Macaca mulatta: one gene and its partners. The protein of the gene in region 6 interacts with the protein of the main gene of each other region in a pairwise test. Links are inferred from orthologs where the notes say so. Each region holds a gene or a part of one and is shown on either strand. Other genes may lie near its edges. The genes, in order: LENG1, PDLIM5, HMG20B, ASB7, RAB33A, CCDC136 and CDK2AP1.

Evidence for each region.
Region 1: the proteins of CCDC136 (region 6) and LENG1 interact in binary tests that used the Homo sapiens proteins (3 or more experiments, as listed by UniProt). The two-hybrid records come from large-scale screens. The link is inferred for Macaca mulatta from reciprocal best matches to the Homo sapiens genes CCDC136 and LENG1.
Region 2: the proteins of CCDC136 (region 6) and PDLIM5 interact in binary tests that used the Homo sapiens proteins (3 or more experiments, as listed by UniProt). The two-hybrid records come from large-scale screens. The link is inferred for Macaca mulatta from reciprocal best matches to the Homo sapiens genes CCDC136 and PDLIM5.
Region 3: the proteins of CCDC136 (region 6) and HMG20B interact in binary tests that used the Homo sapiens proteins (3 or more experiments, as listed by UniProt). The two-hybrid records come from large-scale screens. The link is inferred for Macaca mulatta from reciprocal best matches to the Homo sapiens genes CCDC136 and HMG20B.
Region 4: the proteins of CCDC136 (region 6) and ASB7 interact in binary tests that used the Homo sapiens proteins (3 or more experiments, as listed by UniProt). The two-hybrid records come from large-scale screens. The link is inferred for Macaca mulatta from reciprocal best matches to the Homo sapiens genes CCDC136 and ASB7.
Region 5: the proteins of CCDC136 (region 6) and RAB33A interact in binary tests that used the Homo sapiens proteins (3 or more experiments, as listed by UniProt). The two-hybrid records come from large-scale screens. The link is inferred for Macaca mulatta from reciprocal best matches to the Homo sapiens genes CCDC136 and RAB33A.
Region 7: the proteins of CCDC136 (region 6) and CDK2AP1 interact in binary tests that used the Homo sapiens proteins (3 or more experiments, as listed by UniProt). The two-hybrid records come from large-scale screens. The link is inferred for Macaca mulatta from reciprocal best matches to the Homo sapiens genes CCDC136 and CDK2AP1.

The regions. Positions count from the first base shown.
Region 1 is NC_133424.1:66,391,281-66,395,593, forward strand, and holds the start of LENG1 (leukocyte receptor cluster member 1), read right to left. Parts: upstream 2,808-4,313; 5' UTR 2,785-2,807; coding exon 2,653-2,784; intron 1,539-2,652; coding exon 1,359-1,538; intron 99-1,358; coding exon 1-98. Other genes in the region: voltage-gated chloride channel TMC4, read right to left, coding at 3,393-3,461, 3,554-3,632, 3,938-4,093, 4,190-4,313.
Region 2 is NC_133410.1:103,948,659-103,952,227, reverse strand, and holds part of PDLIM5 (PDZ and LIM domain protein 5), read right to left. Parts: intron 3,215-3,569; coding exon 3,071-3,214; intron 2,322-3,070; coding exon 2,190-2,321; intron 1-2,189. UniProt on the Homo sapiens protein: May play an important role in the heart development by scaffolding PKC to the Z-disk region. May play a role in the regulation of cardiomyocyte expansion. Isoforms lacking the LIM domains may negatively modulate the scaffolding activity of isoform 1.
Region 3 is NC_133424.1:4,383,117-4,387,396, reverse strand, and holds the start of HMG20B (SWI/SNF-related matrix-associated actin-dependent regulator of chromatin subfamily E member 1-related), read right to left. Parts: upstream 2,847-4,280; 5' UTR 2,757-2,846; intron 2,505-2,756; 5' UTR 2,487-2,504; coding exon 2,449-2,486; intron 2,103-2,448; coding exon 1,994-2,102; intron 1,413-1,993; coding exon 1,209-1,412; intron 255-1,208; coding exon 134-254; intron 1-133. UniProt on the Homo sapiens protein: Required for correct progression through G2 phase of the cell cycle and entry into mitosis. Required for RCOR1/CoREST mediated repression of neuronal specific gene promoters.
Region 4 is NC_133412.1:90,994,434-90,998,002, reverse strand, and holds part of ASB7 (ankyrin repeat and SOCS box protein 7), read right to left. Parts: coding exon 3,006-3,569; intron 1-3,005. UniProt on the Homo sapiens protein: Probable substrate-recognition component of a SCF-like ECS (Elongin-Cullin-SOCS-box protein) E3 ubiquitin-protein ligase complex which mediates the ubiquitination and subsequent proteasomal degradation of target proteins.
Region 5 is NC_133426.1:136,626,437-136,630,454, reverse strand, and holds the start of RAB33A (ras-related protein Rab-33A), read right to left. Parts: upstream 2,816-4,018; 5' UTR 2,563-2,815; coding exon 2,305-2,562; intron 1-2,304.
Region 6 is NC_133408.1:168,439,696-168,443,264, reverse strand, and holds part of CCDC136 (coiled-coil domain-containing protein 136), read right to left. Parts: intron 3,473-3,569; coding exon 3,361-3,472; intron 2,763-3,360; coding exon 2,597-2,762; intron 2,361-2,596; coding exon 2,220-2,360; intron 1,885-2,219; coding exon 1,726-1,884; intron 1,434-1,725; coding exon 1,263-1,433; intron 771-1,262; coding exon 585-770; intron 1-584. UniProt on the Homo sapiens protein: May play a role in acrosome formation in spermatogenesis and in fertilization.
Region 7 is NC_133416.1:130,672,857-130,676,854, reverse strand, and holds the start of CDK2AP1 (cyclin-dependent kinase 2-associated protein 1), read left to right. Parts: upstream 1-1,169; 5' UTR 1,170-1,236; coding exon 1,237-1,345; intron 1,346-2,126; exon of another isoform or gene 2,127-2,280; intron 2,281-3,170; coding exon 3,171-3,265; intron 3,266-3,998. UniProt on the Homo sapiens protein: Inhibitor of cyclin-dependent kinase CDK2. Also acts as a component of the histone deacetylase NuRD complex which participates in the remodeling of chromatin.

The DNA of each region.
Region 1 (4,313 bases), on a different chromosome or scaffold from region 6:
CGCTCTGGGGGTAGCTGGTACCAAGGGGGTTGAGTCTGTGCCTCCGCTGCACTCTGGCCCAGGTACGTCAGGATGCCCAGAGCTTTCTCTTGCCTCTCCTGAGGGGGCCAGGAAATACAAGAGATGGGATATAATCTTTCAAGGTGTCAGGTGTGTCTCCCTGACATAGGAATCTAAGCAAACAGGTACCTAAGGCTTGTCATGAACCAGTTGTACCAGGTGCTGGGGATGGAAGACACCAACAGAGGCCAAGTTCCCCGTGGGGGGACAGTGGCAGGTAACAGCAGGGGAAGGAGGGGACAAGTGGAGCCACTTGAGTGTTCAGAGGCAGGCATCTTTGCAGAGAGACTTGAAGAGAAGCCTGAAGGGATCAAGCAAAGCAGAGGAGCCATGGGTGGGGTCAGCAAGTCCAGAGACAGCAGGTGAGTGACAAGAGCTCATGTACCTGTTTTTTTTTGAGATGCAGTCTCGCTCTGTTGCCCAGGCTCGAGTGTAGTGGCACCATCTCGGCTCACTGCAACCTCTGCCTCCCAGGTTCAAGCAATCCTCCTGCCTCAGCCCCCCTAGTAGCTGGGATTACAGGCACGCACCACCATGCCCGGCTAATTTTTGTATTTTTAGTACAGACGGGGTTTTGCCATGTTTGGCCAGGCTGGTCTTGAACTCCTGACCTCAGGTGATCCATCCACCTTGGCCTCCCAATGTGCTGGGATTACAGGTGTGAGCCACCATGCACGACCAGACATACTTTTTACACTTGATCTTAGCCAAAAGGCAAGAGGCGAATGATTCGCCTTTTTTTTTTTTTCTCTTTTTTTTTTTGAGATGGGGTCTCGCTCTGTCACCTGGGCTGGAGTGCAGTGGCGCAATCTCAGCTCACTGCAACTTCCACCTCCCAGGTCAAGCGATTCTCCTGCTTCAGCCTCCAAGTAGCTGGATTACAGGCGTGCACCACCACACTTGGCTTATTTTTTTGTATTTTTAGAGATACCATGTTGACCAGGCTGGTCTTGAACTCCTGACCTCAGGTGATCCACCCGCCTCAGCCTCCCAAAGTGCTGGGATTACAGGCATGAGCCACAGCTGGCTGATTTACATTTTTAAAAGCCTATCAAGGTTTCAGACCCCTCCAGTTTTGAGAACTGAGCAGTTTGCCTAGCAGCTGGGGACCTCTAGCATCTACCTCCAAGCCCTGTGGGTGCCCAGATGGCAACACTTCTTAAGTGTCATGCTTTGGTATGGTTCTAAATTCTGTGTGTTCGTTCTCGTTTGACCTTGATCACAAGCAGTGGCTAAAGTGCCCTCTCCCCCCAACTCGATTCATGGCTCCTCTAATGAAGTGGGTGAGGCCAGCTTACTTTCTCCTGTCGCTTTTCTTCCTCGTACTCTTTATTGCCTCTGATCACTCCTTTCCCTTCCTCCAGCAGCTCCCGAAACAGGTCCACAGGGCCAGAACTTGGGGCTCCCGCCTCTGCTGCTTCAAGCTCAGGCAGTGAGTTCTGATGTCTGGCTTTCTTTCGTAGGAATTCTGTACGGGCCTGGGGAGAAAGTTATAGGCAGGGCATTCAGAACCTAGAGGTGATTCAAGAACTGTGAGTCTGGTGCCCACCACAGAAAATGGCAGTCCAGGGTGCTGGGGTTATAAGAAAGGGAGCACTAGACGCCTAAAAGAGGCACCTGTCCTAGCTGCGGGTGAGGGTAGGCAGATGAGGCAACGCCTGGGTTTTGTAAACTGCCTTTCAAATCGTAAACCACGGGTCATCAAGGATGGCTGGAAGGAGGTCCCTGGCCTAAACCAAAGGGGTTCCTAACCTCAAGTGAGACAATTAAAACAGCCATAAAGGTAGACCAAACTGCATTAGGCCAGACGATCTGAATTCTAGCCATGGCTCCAAGTCACTACCCCAAGTCGACTGCTGAAGCCCTGTCCCCCGCCTTCGGGACGCAGATTTCAAACAGCGCTCAGCAGCCTACTGAGATTCTAAAAACCCAGACTACCTCCCACCCACTGTGGAGGATCAGACTAGCTAAGGAACTGAAAGTTGGGTGTACACCAAACAGATTTAAGGAGCCATACAGAAAGCCCGTGTTTGTGTGTATGTGTCTAGGGGGCGGTGCAGGAAAGGGCTCGCCCGATGGCGTGGAGCCTGGCTGTCCCCCTCTCCTTAAATGTGCCTTCCCCTCACTGAAGCCATCTCACTCCGTGCAACGGAGATGACAGTGCCCCTCTAAGAACGAACAGTGCCTCCTGGGGATTCCGCAAGTCAGGCGCTCTGCATGTAGTTAGCATACAATAGGTGCTCAATAAATAAACTGCGCAGGCAAACTAAAACGTGATCCGAATTTCCTTGAACTGTCCAAGCGCTCATGTATTCATTAAATGTTTTTAAGCTGCTCTTTTGTGCTAGACACTGTTCCAGCCATGTGAAATACATCAGTGGGGGGAAACTAAGACGAAGGCGAGATCAAGGGAGGTTTCGTGGAAGTGGCCACAAGGTTTGCAGAGCAACGTCCTCGAAAACGGGATCGGCGCCTGGTCCCGAATTTCACACGGGGCACACTGAGCCTGCGCAACGCCTCCGCTTCCGGCCCCCAACCGCGGCGCGTGCGCGCTGGGCTCCGGCGGTCAGCCCGGCCGGCCTCCGAGCTTACCTCTTGCTGAGCCAGCAGCGCCCTCCGCTCACGCTCCTTCTCCTCCTCCCGGGCCTGGGCCTCGTCACGCCGCACGCGGGCGACATTGTCCTTATTCCGGACGTGCCAGCTCTTCTTGGGCAAGATATTCATGGCGTCGTAGCTGTCCAGGGACTGGCACGCCCGCCTCTTTGCACTTCCGATTGGCGAGAGGATGCCCCCCTTCCTCTTGTCCCTACTTCGACCGCAGATTGGTTCCGAATTAGTTGGTACGGCCCCCTGGCCTGTAACGACAGGTGATTGGCTGAGACGTCCTTTTCACAGCGAATGTTAGGCGTTCGGCTCGTGGTATCCCCTAGCAACCGCCTCTTATCACAGATCTGAACCAATCATAAGTTGGCCCGCCCCGATGCTACCACATGCGGCCGTCGATTGGTCGACATGACCGTCAAGTCTCCTTGCGGAAGTGCGCTCCGCACCGACAAACATGCCCATACATTTGATTGGCTCCTGCCCTGCGGTAGCCCTGCCCCCACCTTCAGGACGCAGATTTCAAAGCGCGCTCAGCAACCTCGGCTGTATTTATTGATACAAGAAAGATCACCCGAGAGTCAGGGACGTGGCGGCGAGGGGCCCTGGAAATCTCCAGATATCAAAGCTGGAAGGGCGTGGAGTCTTCTCCAGTTCTCCTAGTTTACAGATGTTGTGACCTAGGCTTACAATGGGCCTGGGGTCTGAAAGTGGGGCGTGAGCTGCGGGGGTCAAAGAGCCGGTTCGGTGGAGGTCAGCGCCACAGCGCGCCGTGCCAGGAAGACTTTATTCTGCGCCTCCTGCGGCAAAGAGAGGTGGAGGTGTGACAGCCCTCTTCCCCAGCCCCTCTCCGTGTTCCCCGGGGGCCCTCTCAGGGACCCGCCTGGCTCACCGTCTCCCTCTGACGTTTGAGCTCAGAGATGAGGCGTCCGTAGGAGTTAGCCCGAGCCACAGTGTACGCCATCAGGATGCTGGAGGAGACAGGAACGGAAGCCACTCCTGACACGCTCTTCGAAGTCAGGGATGTGGACCCCTAAGTCCCTCCTCGTCCAGGCTCAAGGAGTTCAGTCTCCCAGCACCTCCGCGTTCAGATCCAGGAGTCCTAAGTCCCGCCCACCTCCTCCTTCGGACCCAGCAGTCCAGGAGCCTAGGCCTCCTCCCTCAGACTCAGTACATTGCCTGCTCCCACCCCCAAGCCTTTCCTCTCTTGGACGCAGGTGGTGGCCCCCAGATCACACGCATTCAAACCCAGACCCAGAAGTCTGGTCCACCTCACCTGGAGATCAGCAGAAGGGGCGCAGCAAAAGCCTGGGTCCCCAGGAAGAAGAGGAAGTTCTGGGTGGTCTCAGGGAGGCTGGAAATAGACTCAGGGATCTGGGCCCAGATGGACGACTGCCCCCGGAATGGACCACACGGCTTAGAAGGCGGGATCCTGAAGTCAAGACAGGCTGGGTTCAAGTAGAGCCAGGAGTCTGAACACTGAATGGGGGGAGAGGGAGGGAGAGAGGCGGGAACCTCTCGCACTTACAGGAAGATGCTGTAAAGCAGGGGAACGCTGGAGATGGCCAGACCCAGGAGAAGAACCAAGGGGAAAAAGAAATTCGCCGTGGAGGCCCGGAAGGTGCGGGCAGCCGGAGAGCAGGTGGAGAAGA
Region 2 (3,569 bases), on a different chromosome or scaffold from region 6:
TTTGTTTAACTATTACAACAAATAAAGCTCAGATACAGATTAAGAACACTTGGGAATTTTAAGTCTATTTTCAAAAGAAAAACTCTGCTTGAAGAATACTTTTGAGAGTAACTTATTCTAATTACATGTTTACATTTTAAAGAAGACAACTGTACATCACAGGTTTAATTATCGATGTTTAAGTTAAACAGTTTTTGGCTAAAGTCTTACCAAAAAATGGTATACTAATATACAGATTCTGAAATGGCAGGAAAGGAGTATTTCTGGAAAGGCCTTAGTTACGAGCAATTGTTTATTTTATAGAATTCCTCTGTCAGGACTCCTTTAAAGGACCTGGACATGTAGAGAGAGTAACGAGTGTCCTTCCTTCCAGAATTCCATATTTAGAAGAAAATTTTTAATATTTTCCTAAGCAAAATTCTTTAACTTAGAGTTTGTAAACCAAAATTTAAAATATGATGTACTAACATATATTATAATGGAAATATATTTTAATGGAAAAATATATTTTAATGGAAAAAATAAATTTGGTATTATACTATATTTACACTTTTAAAGATTACTATCACACAAAAGTAAAAATCAAGATAAAATGTCTCTGACACATTTTATGATTACTCTCATACAAGATAAAATGTATCTGGTCTTTTGGGTACCCCTCTCACTAAGTTAGCAAGGGTCTCCTCAGGAAACCCCAGAATGCCAACTAGACTATCTTTTTAGAAACCATTTCCCTCTCTCAATATCAAACTATATTTTGTCTGTGTCCTACTGTTAATAAGCAATGGTGATGACTACTAATACTTGCTCTAGAGGTGGGGCCACAGATAGCACAGTCAGTCCATAAATGCATGCACACTTTTGCATGTATATGCACACAGGTACTTTTCTGGAGAGAGGATCTATAGCTTTTACCAGGTTCTAAAAATGTGGTATAAGTGTACTCAAGTACTCAAAGCGTACTCTAAGCAACGTCAGTAACCTGCCTCTGTACAATCTCAGCCCTGACAATGAAAGACTTCTGCTCCCTGAACACTTACAATTCTGCAAATATATAATTTCAGGTGCTGTCTTAGAGAAAAATGTACTATCATCTTTCTCCCTTGTTTAAACACCTCCCTTAAAAGTTACCCAGAATAAACATATGTATATTTTGTTGTTGTTTTGAGACAGAGTCTTGCCCTGTCGCCCAGGCTGGAGTGCAATGGCACGATTTCGGTTCACTGCAACCTCTGCCTCCTGCGTTCAAGTGATTCTCCTGCCTCAGTCTCCGAGTAGCTGGGATTACAGGCACCCACCTCCACACCCAGCTAATTTTTTGTATCTTTAGTAGAGACAGGGTTTCACCATGTTGGCCAGGCTGGTCTCGAACTCCTGACCTCGTGATCCGTCCGCCTCGGCCTCCCAAAGTGCTGGGATTACAGGTATGAGCCACTGCACCTGGCCCAGGTAAATATATTGAAAAATCTCTATAACAGTGGTTAGAATACAAACATCTAATCAATATCAGTTATATCAGTTATATAGCCTAGTTATATCAGGTTTTCACTAAGTATGTTGTATACTTTGCCACTGATTTTATGTTCTGTCAAAAATCATTGTATACAGTTATTTCACTGAGTTTATATCTTTAGTAAACACTTGTGATATTTTTATTTTTATATTATGCCTAAAAATTTCTGGCTTAATCCTTAAGCTTAATAGAAAAATCTATTTTGGTGTTTAGCATTTCCCAAATAGTGGAAATTAAGTTGCTTTTCCAAGCAAAACCTTCATATTTAAGAACTAGAATATGTAGTCAATCAAAATTGATCATTATTATTTTTCATTTTTCCAAAAGGTATGTCTTACTAAACATTTGAAGATTCTAATACAGCTATATCTATGCAATAAAAGACAGAAATTCTACTGCAATTTAAATACTTGTACAATTACGTGGAATTGCACACCAAACATCAAGTATGCTAAGGAAAGATGTCACAAAAGGTTAAAAGGTGAGTTAATAATCATAGGACATACTGTGCTTGTGCATTAGCATGGCATTGACATTACAGTTAATTCAAAATTGGGCGCAAATCCCTAGAGCTCTAGGATGTTGTCACCCGGCCTGTTAATACAGTGGTGATGTGTTAGAGAAAGCAGTATCCTTAACAGCAAACCACCACTTGCCATATCTGCTCCCACAGTACCTTGTTTTCTTAACATGGATAGAGCCAGTTGATTTCCTTGAGGACTGCAGATAGGAAAAAGCTAAAGGCTTGGAGACAGGACTGATGCAAAGTGCATCCAAGAGCGAGTGATATCTTTCAGGAGTGTAGAGCCTGGTAAGCATTTAGAAAGAGTTTTAAGTCAAAAATCGCACTACCAATAGACGACAGTAGTTTTTAAGGTCTGTGATTTGAAACATTTCCTTTATGAGAAAGAGGGTGGGGAGAGAGAGGAGGACGGAGGGGAAGCACAAAGCAGCAAAGGAGGATAAAAGAAGCACCAAGAGTTTATTCTATCGCTTTACTCATTAATATAACATTGATTAGATTTTCACCAAAATGGTCACAGCCATCATTTAGAAAGCATTTGAAGCTCTAAAGACTATAGAAATTATCTAAAACCCCCAAACCACGAAAATAAAACCAATTTATTTCTTTTTGGGAAAGGATGCAATTTTATTTTTTTAGGGGACAGTAGTCTTCAGATCACCCTTTAAAGGTCGTGGGAGAAGATAAAATCAATAGAAACTTAAAATACTCATTAATACTTTATTGTTTCAAATATAAAACCTGAAAATCGTAAAAATCCAAGTGCCAATAAGCACACAACATGTAATAATCCACGCAACTGAGAAATACCATCCATAAATAGCAGCAATGGAGAGATTAAAAGGTGATTTTTAAGAAATAAACAGTAACAAATACTGTGAGATTCATCCACAACCTAAAATATCCACTACACAATTAAGAGCTCACAATAGAGCTATGATTGCTTCAAACAGATATGTTTTCTTTGAGGTGAATTGTAAGACAATGAAGAGCGCTGAGATTGCATCAGACAGACGCTGCACGTGTAGTTCTACCTGGTTTTTGCAGCAATAACAGCAGACACAGTAGCAGCTGCACTGCTCAGAACTGCAGCACTGTATCTAGCAGGAGAAGAGAAGGTAGAAAAGTTTCGAAAACCTTCAAAAGAATCTTCCACATTTCCTGTGGAGCTGCTTAAACTGACAGGTAGGGAAAGAAAAACAGGAGAGGAACAAAAAGGAAAGTGAGAAAGGGTAGCATAATAAATACAAGAGAGTAACCATTCCATATTAATATCTAGGCATTATAAAAGTGTGAAGTGTCAGAAGTGTAATAGGAGTTCAGGTCATTTAGTTACTGCTGCTATGATTTCTCTCAGAAGATAAAAGCTGATGTATAATCCTCCATAAAGCTGATTTTGACATACAAATACTTTTGAATGTATTTAAGTTCACTAACTGTATTCCTATTTAAAATTACCTTGTATCACACATTTGAAGACTGACTTGCCAACAACTTAGCAGAAAATAAATCTAAACATGAAGTTTGAATTTC
Region 3 (4,280 bases), on a different chromosome or scaffold from region 6:
TAGTAGTGGGGGGGGGGGTTTCACCATGTTGGCCAGGCTGGTCTTGAACTCCTGACCTCAGATGATCCACCCACCTCGGCCTCCCAAAGTGCTGGGATTACAGGCGTGAGCCACCGCGCCTGACCCCTCCCACCTTTCTTGATCTTCTTCTCCTGGATCTTCTCCGTGCACATCTTATAGGCTTCCGACTGCTGGTAGGCCCGCAGCTCCTTCATGTACTGCTGCTTCTCTCTCTCGGCCTCATCCAGGTACCGCTGGGGGACAGCACCAAAAGACCTGAGGCAGGGGAAGCCTCTAACGCCAGGACCCAGTCTTCATCACTCAGCTTTCACAGCACCCTCCCCTCTCCTGAACCTTCCATAGTTCCCTATTCCCTCCAGACAGACAGAACCGGCTCCTCAGCCTGTTGCTCAAGGACCTCTGAGCTCCCACATCACTTCCCATGCCCCAGGCTCATCCCCAACTCCCGCCCTGACAAGACACTCCTGGGCGCCAGAGTCATGGGCAGGCACCCAACCTCCAGGGTATGTGGATATCTAGACTCCCTCCTGCACCCGTTTTTCTCTTTGAAATTTCACTTACAGGGGTGCAAAGCGGCGGTGGCTTTTGTTACATTTCCGTGATGTTTTTGCAATTTTTAAACTAACAGTATATGAAAATCAGATTTCACAAAAAATCCAGGCCTTATCCTGACTTCTTAGACATATCTTTGTTGGTCACCCAGTTTTCGATCTGTCTTGCCTCTTGCTAGCCGCGCCCCCAAAAGCTGGTCATGGGCTGGCCATGGTGGCTAATGCCTGTAATATCAGTACTTTGGGAGACTGAGGTGGGCAGATCATTTGAGGTCAAGAGTTCAAGACCAGCCTGGCCAACATGGCGAAACTCCATTTCTACTAAAAATACAAAAGTTAGCAGGGCGTGGTGGCTGGCGCCTGTAATCCCAGCTACTTGGGAGGCTGAGACAGGAGAACTGCTTGAACCCGGGAGGTGGAGGTTGCAGTGAGCCGAGATCGCGACACTGCACTCCAGCCTGGGCAACAGAGCAAGACTCCATCTCACACACACACACACACACACACACACACAAAAACTGGTCATGGGTGGGCATTTCACCAGGCATAAGGAAAAGCCCTGCACGTGGAATCCTTTGGGGGTCGGGGCTACTGGTAGTACGGGGGTCCGCCGGCCCTGCTCAGCGCCCCGCTCACCTGCTTCTCCGTTGGCTGCAGCTTGCTCCACTCGGCGCCCAACATCTTGGTGATCTCGGGAAAGGGCAGATCCGGGTGGCGCGTGCGGATCTGCTCGCGCCGCTCGTTCAGGAAGCGCACGTAGCCTGTGACCGGTGCCTTGGGCCCATTCGGCAGAATCTTCTTCCGCTTCTTGCCCTTGGGCCAGCCGCGTTTCTTCACCGGCTGCAGAACCGGGCTGCGTCGTTGGGAGGGGGGCCTGGCGTACTGGGGCGGGGCTCAGAGGGGCATGGGCGGGGCCTAATGCTGTATGGGCGGGGACGGGGCGGGGCCTAGTTGGGAGGAAGAACCCGGAAGAGATGGAGGTAGGGCCCAGTCAGGAGTCAGGACACGGTGGTTTAGAGGGGTCCCTGGCCAGGGATGAGGGGATCCCAGAGACTATGGGCCGAGGTTTGAGCACAGGGGTGGTGTTTACTTAGATTGTAGGCGTGGCCTCTGCTTGGTGGGCGTGGCTTCTTGGAGAAAGGGCCCACAGGACCATGGGGAGGGTGCCGCCCCCAAGGAGTGGAAGTGGGCGGGACCTTAGAGTGGGCAGAGCTGGCATTGTGTGGTGGGCGGGGCCTGGACTTAGGGAGGCAGAGGACCTGTCAGGGGCGTGGCAGCTCGCACGGGGCGGGGTCTCAGCTTCCGGAGGAAAATCTGGGCTGTGGGCGGAGCCACAAGCAATTCAAATCCAGCCTGGGGCGGGACTTCAAGGCTGGGGCCGCAGCCCGGGGCCTCCCCCAGCTCAGCGCAGGGACTCTCACCTCCTCCTCGTGGGACCCCTTCTCGCCGGCGCGTGGACCCTCGCCGCGCTCTTGCTTGACAGCCACCACGAAGCCCCCATGCTGGCCCGGAGCCTTGCCGCCCGCCGGCCTGGAGCCAAGGATACAGAGGTCAGCCCCGTCCCTAGAGCCTCCCCTCCCCCAAACGCCTACCCCAAGGCTTTTAGACGCCCGACGATGGGGCTGCTGCGAGAGTGCATGAGCCCGAGGAAGCAGGGTCTGATGGGGTCAGTATCCGCGGAAGGTGGGACAAGCGGGGCTCCTGGGAGGGGCTGGAGGCCGAGGTGGGGTATGCAGGATTGGATGGAGGGAGAAGCCCCCTGACCCAGGTTGGGGGCGGTCGAGACCCCGGCCGGGGTGACTGGAGCGGGGGTTCAGGAGCTAGGGCTGCAGCCGGGAAGGTAGCGAGGGCGTGGGGAGGGAATCGGAGCACTCACGCGGCGGCCGTGCCGGGCTGCTTGGGGCCGTGGGACATGGCTGCTCCGGGCCGGACCTGGAACACGGACGCGGGCGGAGTTGAGTAGCGCCTGGGCTGATTGATGGCGGACCGCGAACTGGGGTATCCCGTGATGGAGAGCCCCGGGATGCCGGGCCCGGAGCGCTGGGGGGGCCGGATCCGGGGGCGGGGAAGTCCTCGAGGGCGGGCGCCCCAAGAATCCTTTGTTGGGCGATTGCCCCCCGGGAGGCCTGGGCCGGTTCCCCCCGGCCCAGGAAAGACCCCGACCCGGCCCTGGGACCCCCGCACCCCCGCCCCCTCGCAAGGCCCGGAGTTCCGCGGCTGTTTTCACCTCCAAAGAAACTTTCCCGGACCTCCCGACTGCGCGACGCTCCAACCAACCGCCCGCAGCCCACCCCCGCCGACTGCCCCGCCCCTCCCCGCCCCCGGCATGCTAATGAGGCCTCGGCGAACGGTCCCATTGGGTGAGGCCTTCCCCCGGGGCGTGCCCATGCAGATACCGATCGGCGCGCCGGCCGGCGATTGGCTGGGGAGGCTGCTGAGCCGCGTGGGAGGTTAGTAAGGAAGGCGGCGGGCGGTGCGTCAAGTTCGGCTGCGCTCGGCCGCGCTCGGGACCAATCGGGAGCGCGTGGCGGACTTGCCGGGCGGAGCCTCTTAAAGGGCCAGTAGGTGAGGCGCCGACTCCTCCTCCCGCTCTGAGGGCGATACTCCCAGCAGCTGCCGGATGGCGCGACCCGCGGATCCGGGTCGGGCCACGCCCCGGTTGCCATGGGGACGGAGGTGCTAGGGTTAAGTTCCTGTGAGGCAGCCCCCAGCCCTAGGACAAGGTGGGACCTGTTCTTAACATCCTGCAAAACCCATCGGAGACGTTTCCTATTTATTTATTCAGAACCCCCGACATCCGGATCCGAGGGCTTCTGGCCACAGGGGCGGCTTTCCCAGTGGGATCTGGGCTTTCCCTCCTGTGCAATGGGGACATCGCACGATGTCCAGGGCATAGAGGCTGGGATGCTGCGAAGCTGAGAACGGGGTGTGGGTCAGTCAGGGGGTGGGGTTGGGAGCTGGGCTGGAAGTATTTGGGGAAAGATGGTGGTAAAGGGAGGTTGCAAGGACCTGGTGAAGTTGGGTCAGGATGCTCCGCTCTGGGGGATCAGACCCAAGTTGGGGGCTGCTCACTTCCTCTTTTTTTTTTTTTTTTTTTGAGACGGAGTCTTGCTCCGTCGCCCAGGCTGGAGTGCAGTGGCTCGATCTCGGCACACTGCAACCTCTGCCTCCCGGGTTCAAGCAATTCTCTGCCTCAACCTCCCGAGTAGCTGGGATTACACACGCCTGCCACTACGCCTGGCTAATTTTTGTATTTTTAGTAGAGACAGGGTTTCACCATCTTGGCCAGGCTGGTCTTAAACTCCTGACCTCGTGATCCACCTGCCTCGGCCTCCCAAAGTGCTGGGATTACAGGTGTGAGCCACCGCGCCCAGCCCCCTTCCTCTTCCTCAAGTCCGCTCAAATGTCACCTGCTCAGCCAGGACCTCGCCTCTGATTTTTTTTTTTTTTTTCTCCGTAAGTCGGTTTCCTCTCTGTGGCCTGCCTGTTTGGTTCACAGCAGTGACCGTGGTGGGTGTTCAATACACATTCATTGAATTGTTCAAATGTCTAGGAGGCAGATGCAGTCAGCTGCTTTGGAAAACAGACTGGCATTTCCTCAAAGGGTTAAATAAATGTGGAATCACCATGCAATTCAGCAGTTCACTCCTAGGAATATACTCCAGACAACTGAAAACAGGTGTTCAAACAAAAGCGTGTACACAAGTG
Region 4 (3,569 bases), on a different chromosome or scaffold from region 6:
CTGTGCTCCTGCCATCCTGGAAGGGGGAGGTTCTGAGGTCTGAATGCTAGACAGCGGGCTGGCTGAAGGGAACAGCAACAGCAGCTCTTCCTGGCCTCTCCCCCTACTCAGCATCAACAAGTCACCAGCAGATGCTACTTTATTACCAAGCCACGAGTGCACTCTGTTTTGTTTTTGTTTTTGTTTGCACTATATATTAGAGTTTTTATGGCAATTTTTCCAAAAGGCCAGAGTAGTTTTTAAATTCCGGTATTATAATTTTTTTGGTCTCTTCCAATGTAAATAATCTTGTTTTTAGTCAAAACAGTGTGATGAAGAGTAAAATGTCCCTGAATGAAGACCACCATGTGGCCCCTCTGCTGTCCTTATGCCTCGGCAGTCTGCGATCTCCAATCATAAGCCAACAGCATGATGCCCGGGGCTGCAGTGCTTAGAGCACACGGGCTAGAAGAAGCTCTCAGCTTTGATTTAGTGCTCCCTAAACTAACCAACCTTCTTTCGAGCTGCTTTTCATAAGAAAGCTCAGTCCAGAGCATCAGCCACAGTTGCTCCTTCTGGCCCACATTGTTCACTAGGAAAAGAAAAGCTATTTAGACCCAAAGAACACACAGGTGAAGCAGAAACACCAATTTGCTTTTGGCAGGAAACATCACTGGAGAGTCAAGAAATACTAAATTATGTTGAGGCACCTGAAGACAAAGGACAACTGCAGCCTTAACAGACAGAGGGCCCTGCACTCAGGAAAGCAGTCTGTGCTTCCTCAGTCCCCACCCCTCGTTGTACAGAGTTAGCCAGACTGCCTGGACTTACTGAGGACCTCCTAGGTGCACAGCTCTGCTCCTCGTGCAGTGGAGAACCTAAGCACAGACAGAGGCAGTCCCCACTGATGTTTCTATCTGCTCAAATTTTAAAGTGCATGTGAGCCTTTAACTCAACATTCCTGCTGTGCAACAGCACTGCTGCGGGCAGCTCTAAGGGCTCAGGGACACAGGGCGGCTGCCCACATGCTTTTCCTGCCCAGCGGCTCCTTTCAGCCACCTGGCTGCGTGGCTCCACGTACAGACTCTAAACAGTTGTATATACGGTTGAAACTGGGAGGCTTGAGTTGAATATGAATCTAAAGATTTTGCTCTGTTGGTAGCAAGCCAGTCCTCGCTGTTAATCCACCCTCACTTTATTAGTTACACACTTTATCTTGAAAAACAATGACAAAGAACAGCGCCTGGAACGTGTTAAATGTTAAGTGCATTATAAATATTAACTCATTTAATTCTCATAACAAGCCTATATTATCTTAATTTGAAGGTGAGGACACTAAGGCACAGAGAGATTAGGTGATCTGCTCAAGGTCACAGCTAACATGTGATAGAGTTAGGGCTCAAACTCTTGCAGTCTAGCTCTAGTCTATGCCATTAACCGCTGAACAAAGTATTTTAAAAAAAGGGGGCTGAGGCATTTAGGTGAGTATATAACACGCCTTCCTAAGGGGAGCCACACTCATGATAACTAAGTCTCTAATATAGAAGTTAAAAGAACAACAACAACAAGGCAACCAGGAACTGCAGCACTGCAGATATCACATCTCCCGTCTTTGGCTACTTGTGTGTGTCTCAGAAGCTTTCTGCAATGGAACGCCCACCAGTCAGCCCCAAATACCCCTCCCAAGGCAGGCAGATCTGTGTGGACCAACAAAGGAGTCACCAGGCACTTGTGGCCATTTAAACTTAAATCGCAATTAAATAAAATTTCAATTCCTCAGTGGCAATGGTCACATTAATAGGTGCTCAACAGCCACATGGGACCAGTGGCTACTATACTGGACAGTAATGAGAGACCATTTCCAACATTACAGAAACTGGTACTAGCCAGCACTGAGTAGACAAAGTAGTGTGATTTCTTCTTATGCTTTAGTCTGAATACATTAGTGATAATAATTTCATCTTTTCTTCCATGAATCTGCGAAATTCAAGTTACATTTTGTTTCTTCATAAAGCAAGTTTGTACTCCAAAGGTCGGTTCTAAGGGGTAGAGTGGGTTATTTACAAGCAAGTCAAGTAAAGCCTTTGTCCTCTAGAAGCTGGTACCCAGGATATTAATATGTCTTCTTCTATCATCATGATCAAAGGTTCAAAACCAGTGAGGAAAAAGGAATTCATTAAAAAGTTCAGCAGACAGCAAAATCAATTTTGTTTACAGATTTCAGCTTCATGTTGGACATTAAGCATGAGACACACAATCAACTGGTCACGTGGAAGCTTGACAAGAGAGGATGGCTAAGTCCACACAAACTGATACCCCATCACAGAAACAACTAGGATGCATGTATTACTACAGAAAGTGGGTCAGACACTTCAAGGCTTTAAAAAAAGCACCCACACAAAAATTGTTCAAATACAATGGAAGCCATGTGGTCCAGGGACAGTGGTGCCAAACTTCCCACTGCTAGCAAATATTTTCTTACAACAATTTCTAGCATCCTTAACTTCCACTAGCAGTATCCCTAAATAAACAGTACCACTGTTCCATTTCATGTGGGTTCTCATGAAGCAGAAAAGCCACAACTAAAACGTGAACAACTTAGCAATAAAGCACAAATTCTAGGATATTTTCACAGCTAAGGAATCTAAAATCCAAAATTCTCCCTCTAACTCCTCAACTTGAAGTCCATGGAAGCCAGGTAAGATTATCCTTATGACCAACAGGAATTGCCTTGTTCTAACACAGATCTTTGTTTATTTAAAGAAATTCTCCTCTCTGTCCTTCTCTCCATTCCTTCCCTCACTCTTACTGTCTACCCCTATTACATTTAGAAACACAATTGAATTTTTATGAAATCTTGTGATTCAAAGTTATTTTTTTATTTCAGAAGAATGAGGCATCGCTTACCAAGCAGTGGTTATAGGAATGATTAATATCTAGTCATCTTAAGTTGCAAAAACACATTAAGCTCCTCAGAAGATGCAAATTTTTTTAAAATGCAATAAAGTAATAATTATATTACATACTTGTGACTTCTTGTAAGAAATCCAAACATGGTCGACTACTTCCAGAAATACTTATTGAAACAGCCAATGGGGTCTGTCCTTCATAGTTCCGTGTGTTCGTGTCTGCTCCATAATTATATAACATCCGTGCACAGAGCACATCATCCCTAAGGGCAGATAAGTGTAAAGGAGTCTGTCCGTCTTCTAAGCGACCCAAGTTTGTGTCTGCCCCTCTCTGAAGGAACATTCGGCAATAAGAGTGATTGCTTTTGATCACGGCGTATCGCAACAGGAAACCATTCTGAATGTCGATGTTGGCATTGTGGTCCAGGAGGATTTTCACACAGCTTGACCTCTCTCGGATAATGGCGAGCTGAAGCGGTGTGGTACCTTTATCACTGAGTGGGTCAACCTCAGCCTTGAACTCCAGGAGAAGCCGGACAAATGAGTCCCTGCCGTAGTGGGCAGCCACATGGAGGGGAGTCCAGCCGTCATTGCTTTTTGCATTAATGATGTCGCTCCTGTATTCAGATTCTAACATCAAGCGTGCAATACGGGCCCGGCCATGCATGGCTGCATAATGAA
Region 5 (4,018 bases), on a different chromosome or scaffold from region 6:
ACACCGGACTTTTCTCTCTCTCCCAAAGGGCAAAGCCCTTGGCAGTCATCTCCAAGCATGGCTTTGGCATGTATTCCTTGAACAACTTCAGGCTAGCCAGAGTGTGAGGCCAAATCTTCTCCTATCTAGATCACGTGCTAGCTGCCAGGCCCTGCCATCTTCCCACAGACATGCTGGTCTCTCGCCTGCCAGCTCTGGTCCTGAGACTGCAGCAGCTTTACAAGAAGCAGGGTCACCATCTCCCCACTCTCACACGCTGCTCTGAGCTCCTTCAGAATCTGCCCTCAGAGGACTCCTCCATGAGCAGTGTCACAAGGCTTTGTCCTCTTGAAAATATCATCTTCCCAAAAAAAGCCTGTATTAAGCACTTATCTGCACGTGGTGTTGTGCTGAGTTCTGTTTCTAGTGAGTCACACTGTCACAGGCTCTGCCCTCTGGGAAAAAGTCTGGAATCTTTGCCAGAGACTGTAAAGTCCAGTTTGGCTAAGTACTGGGGTGTCAGAAGAGAAGGAATGGTTTAAAAATTCCTCCGAGACCACTGGGTGGTGACTCTTCCACTCGTGTTCATCTCCCATCCCTCACTTTCTAGCTTCCTCCTCCCTCCTTCTTTAGATTCCCAAACACTTCATTTTTTTCCATTTAAATTTCAGATGGGCTTATTTCCCACCTTTTAAATCCAGGGAACTCTTTGGCTTACTGTAACACTTGATTTTAAGCAAATGAGAGCATTAGGTTTTTGAGGGTTTAAGAGCCCATCCGTAAAGATATTTCTACTTTGGATTACAAAGGCATGTTTTAGAAATTCTAGAATCGTATAGCCTTACATTAAAGAAGCCAGACACACTAGAGGAAGTCTTAACCAAGCAAATGTCAACAGCCCCAGGAAAGGACAAAGACAAGATGCTGCCTTTGACTTTAAAAGGAAATGTAGCAATTCCCCTTCAAAATGCAAGGGGCAAAAAAGATCACAATTTCAAAATAATGTTCTATCTTCCTGACCCTGGGGCTCTCCCTTATCAGTACTGAGCTGTCCATCTTCCTGACATCTAGTGCGTTGGCCCAGTTTCTGAAGCCATTTTTAGAACATGTTCATTTTAATAATCAAGGAGTCAGAGTCTTGCACAGTTTCAAGTGTTTCATCAGTTACTCAGCCCTTCTCTCCACGTCACTCAGAGGAGGGGCCTTGTGGTCACTTTGGCCGTTTGACCAGCAAGAAGGAGGCTTACTGTTACCCCTGACTCTGTCTAGGATCCAACCATACGCTCAAGGAAAGGCCAGCTGTGAGCCTAGAGGAGTTGTCTTCAGTGATTCCATTGCCTTTATAGAGGCCCCCCTCTGCTCCCCTGACACAGGAAGTTGCCCTTGTTATGTCCTCCCTCCCTCCATGCCCTGCACATTGACATATTCGTGTCATATCAGGTTTCTACCTTTTCTGAATTAAAGGTGAGCACAAATGGTCAGACAAGAATATTTGCACTTAGCCTATTACATAAACTCATGGAGGGGGAGGATTGAGCATTTCCCTGGCCCTCGGTTAAGTCACTGCATTTTTACAAAGACCTTCTGAAGACAATACCAACAGAATGAATAAGGAGCAGTTCATGTATTAGATACCCCAGACAAGTAAAGAAAATACCATTCCAGGGGGCCTGTTACAATAAAAAACAAGTTTTGTTGATTACAAAGGGCTGGCTGGTGACCCTGCCTCAATTTCTTTAAAAGGGCTCATGGCTTTCTGCCAGAACCACCTCACTCCACCCCCATCTCAACTCAGCCCTAATCTTAACTATAAACTGCAATTTAAAATAAAGCAGCTTTTTCATTCTCCATGGATTTCCATCCTTTCCTTCCCTCTAATGACTTGAGGCTTAGCTGAAGTGGGGTTTTGCAGCCTATCGGCACCCAAGCGGTAGAAGAGACATCAGGATGTGTAAAGTGCTTTGGGATCCATCCCACAGACTAGGACCCAGAGATGCCTCCTGCCTCCCTCTGCCCACAGGTGCCGCTGCTCGGGCTAGGGGTCAAGGATGGGATCCAACATGCTTTTCCTGGCAGGACCTGTCAGGCAGGAGCAAAGGGTAAGAATGCAACCATTCTCGACCGCCCCAAAAAACTGAGTGATATGGGGACGGGACCCCGCTGAGAGAGGTGAAAAGGGGTGAGGAGGGGCCGAGGGTCCTCGGCTCAGCAAGAGGCGAAACCGCCACGCGCTGGGACGCTGGACGATGACAACCGCTACAGCTATGCCTCGGGCGAGGTCCCCTCCCAGGTCCCTCCCTTCCTGGACCTGACCCCCGGGATCACCTTGATCTTCTCGCCCTCGATTTCCACGGTCTTCTCCCTGAAGTCCACGCCGATGGTGGCTTCAGTCTTGTCTGGGAAGGTACCCCCGCAGAAGCGGAAGGTTAGGCAGGTCTTGCCCACGTTGGAGTCCCCAATCACGATGATTTTGAAGATGCGAATCTGCACGTACTGGTCCAGCGACGAGTCAAGCTCCAGGGACGCCAGGCCAGCGGCCGAGGCGGGCTCCAGGCTCCCATGGCCCAGGATGGGCTGCGCCATCTCCCCCGGACCGAACCGGGGCCCCAACCCCCCTCGAGGGCTCCACACAAAGAGAACGTCCACGTTCGTGCGCTCGAGGCGAGCGAGCTCTGTGCGCGTGTGTGTGCGCGCGTGTGTGTGTGTCCGCCCGTGTGTGCGTGCGCCGGCACCGTGTGCGCGCGCGCGTGAAGAGGGTGCCTCTCATTCCGGGCCCCCCTCCTCCTCCTCCAGCGCACCCTCCTTGCAGCTCGGAGGCACCAACACAAAAGCCAGGGAGAGGAGGAGAGAGGGAGGAGAGTGGACGAGCAGCGAGCCTTCTGCCTGTGTGCGCCCTCGGACCGGATGCTCTGGCGAAGGACCCTACGGCGCTGCTCCAGCCGCCGCCGCGCCTCGGCCCACACTCTCCCCTGCCTGCACCCCCGAGACCGACCGGAGGGAAGAAGCCTCAGGAGGAAAGGGAGGGGGTGGGGACAGCAGCACACGCCACCCCGGGATAGACTTCTTTCTCCTTGCCCCCATTTATGTTATAAGTTTCGGGCTCCCCACCCCCACTGGCTCGGAGCGCACGGGATCAGCGGGCAGGGAGCACAGCTGGGGAGGACAAAGAGCTGCACCCTAAGGCATCACTGGATCACTTCGGCCTCCCTGGAGCAACGCAACTCTGCAGGGATGGGGTGGGGGCTAAGGCACCTCTTTCACTTCGGGAGCAGCCGGCAGCTGAGCCGCGCCTTCCCGGTCCCCGCTACCCCGTCCCCTCTACCCCCACCCTCTACCCGACCCGCGCCTTGGGATAAAGGGATGTTCTGTCTTATTGAGTGAGCAGGTGCACTCACGGGCCCCAGGCAGCCTGAGCGGGCGCTGCCAAGACACGCAGTGGGTTGTCCCGGGCCTGCACAGTTGAGAGGAGGGAGCCAGCGGGCGCGCGTGTGCGTGTGTAGGGGGTGTTACTGTTTCTGTCACAGACTTGCCAGATGTAGGGGGGCGCGTACCAGGCGCCAACATCCCCTCATCACACCACGAGCACCCATCCTCTGAATGTTCAGGAGAGCGGCTCCTATTGGCTGCCGCAGTCGGTTGTGTTTGGCTGGCCAATGGGGAAGGCTCGCCGCGGGAGAGGGCCACACAGAGGCTAGGAGAAGGGGGGAAGCTAGTGGTGGCAGTTCCAGCAAAAGGGGACTTTGTTTATGGGGCTAGCCATTACTGGCCCAGGTGGAGGATCTTGGGACATGGCATAAGCTCCACAGTGCCTTCCACTCCCAAGCCCTCCATATAACCGTAAGTCCTTCCAGAAGGGTGGAGTTTCAGAGGGAGTTGGGAATCCCTAGGAGGGTTCACTCCCCCTGCAGCTGAATGTAGAACAAAGTGGTTGAGTCTAATTTGCCAGAAGCCTAGATTATGCTTGGAAGATGATAAATGAACACAATCTCCTTACAATATTAGGGGGCTGCTTCCCAAAGCTTACTAATCATCACACACA
Region 6 (3,569 bases):
TGAGGTCAGGAGTTCGAGACCAGCCTGACCAACATGGTGAAACCTCGTCTCAACTAAAAATACAAAAATTAGCCAGGCGCGGTGGCATGTGCCTGTAGTCCCAGCTACTCGGGAGGCTGAGACAGGAAAATCGCTTGAAACCAGGAGGCAGAGGCTGCAGTGAGCTGAGATCGTGTCACTGCACGCCAGCCTGGGTGACAGAGTGAGACTCTGTTTCAACAACAACAACAACAACAAAGAATTTAACTACTTCAAAGTCACAGAATAAATCCTGAAAAAGCCTAGGTCCTTCTCTTGCCTAGTCAGCACTCTATATTCCATTGTCTACATACATGGAATCATGTGTAAAACCTTCAGGGGTTCAGACTGGGATCCAAAGGTATTGATCCTACTGAGCTGTGGCTCCGGCTCAAAGTCAAGGTCAGGGCAAACGGTTCTGTAGTTAGCAGCATGTGGCCCTGCCTCTGCTTCCTGCCTAGGAAGCCCATCAAGCCCTTCGATTGGGTGCCTTCATCTTTTGCCTCTGTACCTCCTCTCTCTGGAGCCAGTGCCCAGGAGCTGTCACCTCTCTGAACAACAATTACCTTGTTAGCACACTTTCCTTTGTCCTCCGGACTGGGCTGGGAGGCCTTGAGCTCTTTCAACTCCAGCTGGCAGAGCAGGAGGTCCTGCTCCAGCTGGTCATACATGTGCTTCTGCCGCTCCAGCTCGTCCTTGCTGGCCTGGTACAGCTGCTTCATCTCCTGAAGCTGAGCGTGCGTCTCTGTGTTCTGGGCAGGGGAGGCAGGCCTGGCCATCACCCCAGGCACTCCTGCTGCTGAACTCTCTCCTCCCAGGCAGGGACTAAGGGGACCCATCTTCCTTTGTCCTTCTCAGCCCCAATTTCATCCCAGCCTGGGATATATACCCAAGATGGACCCGTCCCTGACAGGCTTGAAACACAGACCTTCCCAGTGTAGCCTCTCCAGTTAAATAAATAAATAAATATAAAAATAATTTAAAAAGAAACACAGATCTTCTGGGGCTTCCTTTTTTGGGAGGTAGGGAGGGAAAGGGACTTCCTTTTTATATGCTGCTTTTCTGATTTAAAATCAAAGGAAGATGAGAGCCTTGTGACTCCCTGAGGTTACCTTTCTCCTAAGCACCTCTTTGGCCCCCTCACTGCCAGCTCCTCCACACTCCTACCATTCCCTCTCCTCCTCTGCACTCTCACCCCCACACAAGATGAGGCTACATCCTCCCTCACCAGGAGCTTCTTTTACCTTCTCACTGCTCTCTTTGAAGGAGGCCACCGTATCCCTGAGGTGCTGCAGCTCCGCCTCATGGCACTGCAGCTCCTCCTGCAGCTGCTGCTGCCGTTCCAGCAGCTTTTCCTTCTCACATGTGACGTTCTGGTGCTGGAGCTGCAGCTTCTGCAGCCGGCACAGTAACTCCTATGGTAGAGGGGGCTTTGGGCAGTGCCTCTGGGCTCCTTAACCCACTCACTCTTCTGTGTGAGTCACTTGAAGACACCGACAGTCTAAGATTTGCTTCTCCCTGCCCTTCACTTCCTAATGTCCTCATATCTAATGTAGTACTCGAGCAGGGCTGGAGTTCTTTACCTGTGGTGCTGTCTATGTGGTTGCTGGAATTATTTTTAACTCACTACTCTGATCCACCTTTCCCAAAACCTCAGAAGGATGCCCTTAGCACCTAAGTTGTCCCCTCACCTCTGGTTGCTGTTACCTTCTCACTCTGCTTTTCTACAAGTGTGGATTTCATGACTTTGAGCTGCCGGAGCTCAGCCTGAAGTTGCAGCTGCATCTTCAAGAGCTCGTTCTGCTCATCCTGGCTAGTATCATATTTTTTCTGCAGGGTACAGAGTCTGGACTTCAGCTCCTCATTCTGTGGTAGGGAGGATGTGAGTAGAACAGTTACTCTGGAGAAACAGCAGATCTTTTTACGGATCAGTTGGGTTCCTTTTCAGATGCAGACATCTTGAGGAGCTCCCACAGGTCTAGGGTTTGGTTTCTTCTGTGAGACAGACACTCAGTAATGACCACCATTTCTAGAATGCAGTGCTATATGACTTCTACAGTTGGTTTCCAGCAGACTGTGCCCAGTTGCAGGGCAAGAGTCAGCAGAGCACAGCCATACTCACTGTGCCCACCCTGGTTGAAGCAGCCCCTCCATGAGGCCCTTCTGCCCCCACCCCAGATGACTCCCTGGGCAGTCTTTACCTGAGTGACACTGTGGGAGGTCTGAAACCGAAGCACCTCATTCTGAGCACACTTGAGCTCCCTCTGCAGCCGCCTCTGCTCCTCCTCACTGACCTGGCGATGATGCTGTAGCTCTTCCAACTCACAACACAATTCCTGACACTATGCAGGAAATGGAACAGGGAGGCTTGTTTACTACAGATACCACATGTGCTCCAAGAACAAGCTTGGGGAAAGTATGGCATTCTTTGACTGGAAGATTTACATCAGGCAAGCAAGACCCCAGAATACTGTCTCCCGTCACAGTGCATGCCTGTGGAGATGTTTCTACTACAGGCTGGGAGAAGGTGAAAGAAAGACAAGAAACGTGCCTGCCCTCCCCACCCTCTGTGCCCTACCTTGTTCTTCATGCCATGCATCTGCTCTTCAGCATCCCGTAGCTGCTGCCGTAACAGCTGCATTTCAGGATCAGGCTCTAAGAAATCCATTTCCGAAGTCTGAGACTCTGCCGACGTCATACTTAGTGTTTGGGACTCCAGCCATCTCTCTGTTGCTCTCTGTGTCCTGCAATCCAGAACCCCAGAGCTGTGCTTGAAGGGAGTTCTGCCTGGCAACACCAGCCATGCATGCTTGGTCCTGATGCCTTCATTTTAGGCCAAAGATAGTAAGGGGCCTTCTATTGTGACTCACCGCTCAGATAAACATGCTTAGAAGACTATGGAAAGTCTCCAGCACCTCAATCTGCAAAGGTGTGTTTGACTCTGGGAGACCCTTAGAATGCCAGTCCAGTTAGTTTTCAGGCTAGGCCTAGTCAAGCCCACTCCAATCTGGAAGCATTGTGCCTGCCATTAGACTGAAACAAGTCTATGCGGACAATAAACGAATCTCTTCTGATCTACTTCAGGGCAGAGCAAACCAGAACCCAGTGCCTAGAGCAAAAGTAAACTTCAGAACTCACTCCCTCTAGTCTTGAGATAACTGGGTCGGATCCCCATGTCTGCTTGTAGATGGTATCTGTATTCTTTGGAAACCATGGAAAGGACTGGGTCTCCAGGAGCAGAGGAACGCTCACTGCCCTGGCATCTGCCTTCAGGGGAAAGCCCAAGGCAAGACAGAGTCCTGTGGAACCCCATGACCTCTCACTCTCCAGAGACAGCTGTACCTCTCACTCTCCAGATCTGCAAGCTGCCCAGTGAGGCTGCTGTTGCTCTCCTGCAGGGCCCGGTATTCCTCATTCAGGAAATGGTAGCGTTCCCGCAGCTCCTGCAGTTCTTCTGCAGAGGACAAGCAGAGAGAGATGAGACCAGGAGGAAAGGAAAGCACTGATGACCAGCCCCCAGTTTTCCTGTTTTGAAACATGAGAGCAGAAGG
Region 7 (3,998 bases), on a different chromosome or scaffold from region 6:
CTCGAGTTTTGGGCCTTGTTTGCAAACGTTGACTTCATAAACCTCCCACATCCGAAGTAGGACCCATAAAAACGATATTTAAAAAAACCTTGGACACTGAGGTGTAGGGGCAGGAAAGGGTTAATCGTCAGGGTGCTGAGGGAGAGTTGAATTGCTCACTTGTGGGCTCGGAGTCCCAAAGAGCAAACAGCCACTGTTTTCTTCTCAAACATTCTCACCTCCTCTGGGGTCCGCAGACCTTACAAAGACGGGCTTTGTTGCCAGGTAGGACTGCCAGCAGCGTTCTTCCTCTGGCCTGTGGGGAGGGCAGGGGCTGGTGTTGCCAGCCTGGGCAAGGCTGACAGCTCAGGCTTGACCTGGTGTCATTGGGGCCGGGGCCTTAAACTGGGACCTTCAGGGTTTGGGGTCACAGGGATAGCGGCACTCACGGGGACCCCTGAAGTCCTGTTCTGAGCTGGCTGCACCTGTATTCAGCTTTTCTTCTCTTTCTTCTGTGGAGAATTTCAGGAGTGCCGAGATCCCCAGATCTGGGCTTTTTGGTGCCCCTCCCTCTCCCCCATGGACCCTTTTGCAGAACCCCAGCTCCCCTCCTGCCATTTGCATCCAAGATGGACTCTCCGCTGCTGCCGCTGCTCCTCCGGCTTCCTTGTCATCATCCCTCACGCCCTGCAGCCCTGCCTCCTGCTCACGGGTTGCCAAGCCGCGGCCTGGCCGGTGGTGGCAGTGGCGGAGTTAGACAAAGCCCCCGCCTCCCCCGCCCCAGAGCCCCCCAGGCGCCCCAAGTGGCGGGAAGGCCGCCAGCTCCCCAGGCCCCGGCGCTCTTTGTCTGGCGTGGGGGCGGGGAGCCGCGCCTGGCCCCAGGAGCTTCCTGGCCTCTGCCAACCCCTCGCTCCTGCACACTGCGCTCATTGTCTGAGATGCGCCGAGACGGCCTGCGCTGACGTGGTCCCTGTGTCCCGGTCCCTGTGTCTGCAGGAAGGAGTGACCATGAGTGGAACTCGGGGCATTTCCGCCATCTCTCTCCAGGACTAGACACCCCCCACTCAACCCTGAACAAGGGACTGGCCTGGACAGAGCATTGGAGTCACCGAGCTATTGCTCCTTGTCCCCCCAGCCAAAATGGGACAATTTCTCATTCCTCCTTCCTCTCAGCCCCGCAAAACCTAACCCCAGTATCATCAAATAGTAGGGTCTGGAGCCTGTAGACCTTCTCTTGGGAAGCACTGCCTCTAACAAATGGAGAAACTGAGGACTGGAGGGCGGGGGGCCTGTCTGAGGTCACACAGCCAGGAGTGGCACAGCTGGGGCTGGCGCCAAGTCCAGTGGGGAGGACAGAAAAGGAGAGGTGAGGAGCAGTGGGCAAAGCAGTTGGGGAAGAGGACGGGGGCACACCGAGTTGATTCGAGGGTGCGTGGGAAGTGGCTAGCGCCCCTCCTGCCAGGCTGCTGGGATCTTGCAAACACCCAGGGTGCTGTGCTCTATGGTCCCTCCCAGAGACTGGCCCTCGAGGCCAGAGAGGTGTAGCTACCAGGATCGAAACCCAGGTCTCTGCCAGCAGAGCCTGTGTTCCCCATGCCACGCTTGCTGCCACATCAGAAGCTCAGGAAACTGGGGTTTGGCTGATGTGGTGAGGGGGCGCTGGGGGACATCGCCCTGCCCAATTCCTGCAGTGGCCGTGGACGTGCCGGATATCGCGGGCGTAGTGCTTCCCCATCCCAAGCCGCCCATCCCTGTAGCACACGTGTCTCGTCATCCCCATGTGGGAGGCATGGAAACTGAGGCTCGGAGTGGCATGGTGCTTTGCCCAGTTCAGGATCCAAGTCCACGTTTCCAGGTCCAGCCCAAGCTGGAGCATAACCCTGGGCTGCAGTGGTGGCATCCAGGGCTGGCCTGAGACTCAGGGAGACAACTCGGGACTGTCCCCGCTCCCGGATGCTCCTGGACAGAGGGGCAGGTGCTGAGGTAGCTGGCTCCCTGCATGGAGGGGCAGGTGCTATGCTGTGTGCCCTGGGGCAACTCCCTCAGGTCCATGTCTCTAAATAGAGGGGCCTGGAGCCAGGGTTCTCCAGGGCTCCTCCCGGCTCCCCCAGCCTGAGGCCCTGAACTTCCTTCCTCCTCTGCCCCTCCCCTCACCCACACCAAGTGAGCAGCTGGTGGGTTTGGCCAGCCTGGCACCAGCTGTCCATCCCCGAGGCCAAGTCTGCAGCGCCCGCTGTGTGTGTGAGAGAGAGACCGTGTGGCTCTGGGGGCGGCAGGCGGGCAGCTGCCGAGGAGGACTAGGTAAATTCTCCATGGTTACCGCTGTTTGTCATTCTGCAGGATATCCTTTACCCGCTAATGGCCACTGGGACGCCATTGCGGGGCCGCGTGCTCCCAGCCTCAGACTCCCCTCCCAGATCCAGGAGGCTGCGTTCTGGGCTGGGCCCTGCTTGGTCACTGACTGCAGCCCTGGACAGGCCCCAATGTTGCATCCCATATGTGGGGCCTCAACCCTCCTCTCTTGGAATGCAGAGCCGTTGGGACATAGACTGCCAAGAGTCTGGTCCCCCTTTGGGGAGGGGGAGACAGGCACAGAGAGGTTGAGGGGCTTTATCTGGGGCACACAGAGGCCGTGGTGTTCTCTAGATTCCTAATTTGATGTCCAGCATGCCTGTCTCCAGCCAGGGTTGGGTCTCAAATACTCTAAGGCCTTCCCATCTTCCCCGTCATTGAGCACAGCAGAGATTTCGGTGCATAGGACAAAAAGGCTTGGAAGCTCCGCTGGTTTGGACCAGCCTCCATGGCAGTGGGCTCTTGTGGTATGATGTGGCCTCTAGGTTTTCATCCTCTGGGGCCAGGACACAGGGAGAGGGGATGGGCAGGGATGAGGCCAGGAGTGGCAGTAATTTTATCTTTGGGAGCAGCCCTGCTGCTTGGAAGGTTCTGGTTGGACAGGACGGAGCTCTGTGAGGACCAGCAGCTGCTACAGAGCTGGGGATGGCCGAGTGCCTTGTAGCTACATTTCATTATCCGTCTTCTACACTGGTCAGACTAGAGGTGGAGAGCAGGGTTCTCTATCCTGCTACAGTTGGTGGTGTGGGTCCTGGGCAAGGGCCATTGCAGGACCTGGAGTCCTTGCCTTGGTACAACTGGCTGAGCTGACTCCTGGCCTCTCTCTCCCCACCCCACAGCTGGGAGTGTCCACTCTCCTTCCACCAGCATGGCGTCTTCACAGTACCGCCAGCTGCTCAGTGACTACGGGCCACCATCCCTAGGCTACACCCAGGTATGGCAATGGGGGTGATGGCATGGTGGGAGGGCTGGGGGGAGACATGCTCCCCACCATCAGAGGAGAGAAGCTGGTGGAAGAGACGAAGGAGCAGAAAGTATGGGACAGAGCTTTCTCAGCCCAAGGCCCTGACTGGGCTCCGGCTCAGAACACATCAGAATGGAGGGCACTGGGGACTGTGTTTCGCAGGGACGTGTGAGGTGGAGCGGACAGGAGAGCACCAGGAAGGGGCAGCAGCCCGAGCTGCGCTGCGGCCCCCACCCCACGCGCTCCTCTGGTGGGTCTCCTCACTTCTCTTTCCTGGGCAAGTGAGGCCTGGCCTTGACCCTGGCTCTCCAAGCTGGGACAGAAAACGGCCGGTTCCCACTTGCTCTCCACGGGCGTGGGCCCAGCAGAGAGGAGGTGGCCTTGTCTCGAGAGCCAAGGTGCCTCTTGTTGAGGGCCAGTGTTTGAGAGTGTGGCCCAGGCGAGGCCGCTGCCTGGTTCCACCACTTTCCAGACTGTGACCCCCACTTGGTAACTGCCCAAGACCTGGGCTCCTCATCAGCCCAAGGGTGATCCTAGTACCCCCAGCCCAGGCTGGGGAACAGCAGGAATGGGGTAGCCACCATGTCAGCTGCACCCCACATCTCCAAGGGATGAGCTGCCCTGTCGAAGGTCCCAGCGGGAAGATGCTCTCCCTGGCTGGGCCCCAGTGCCAGTGTTCTGAGGTCGCCACGGAGCCTGTTCC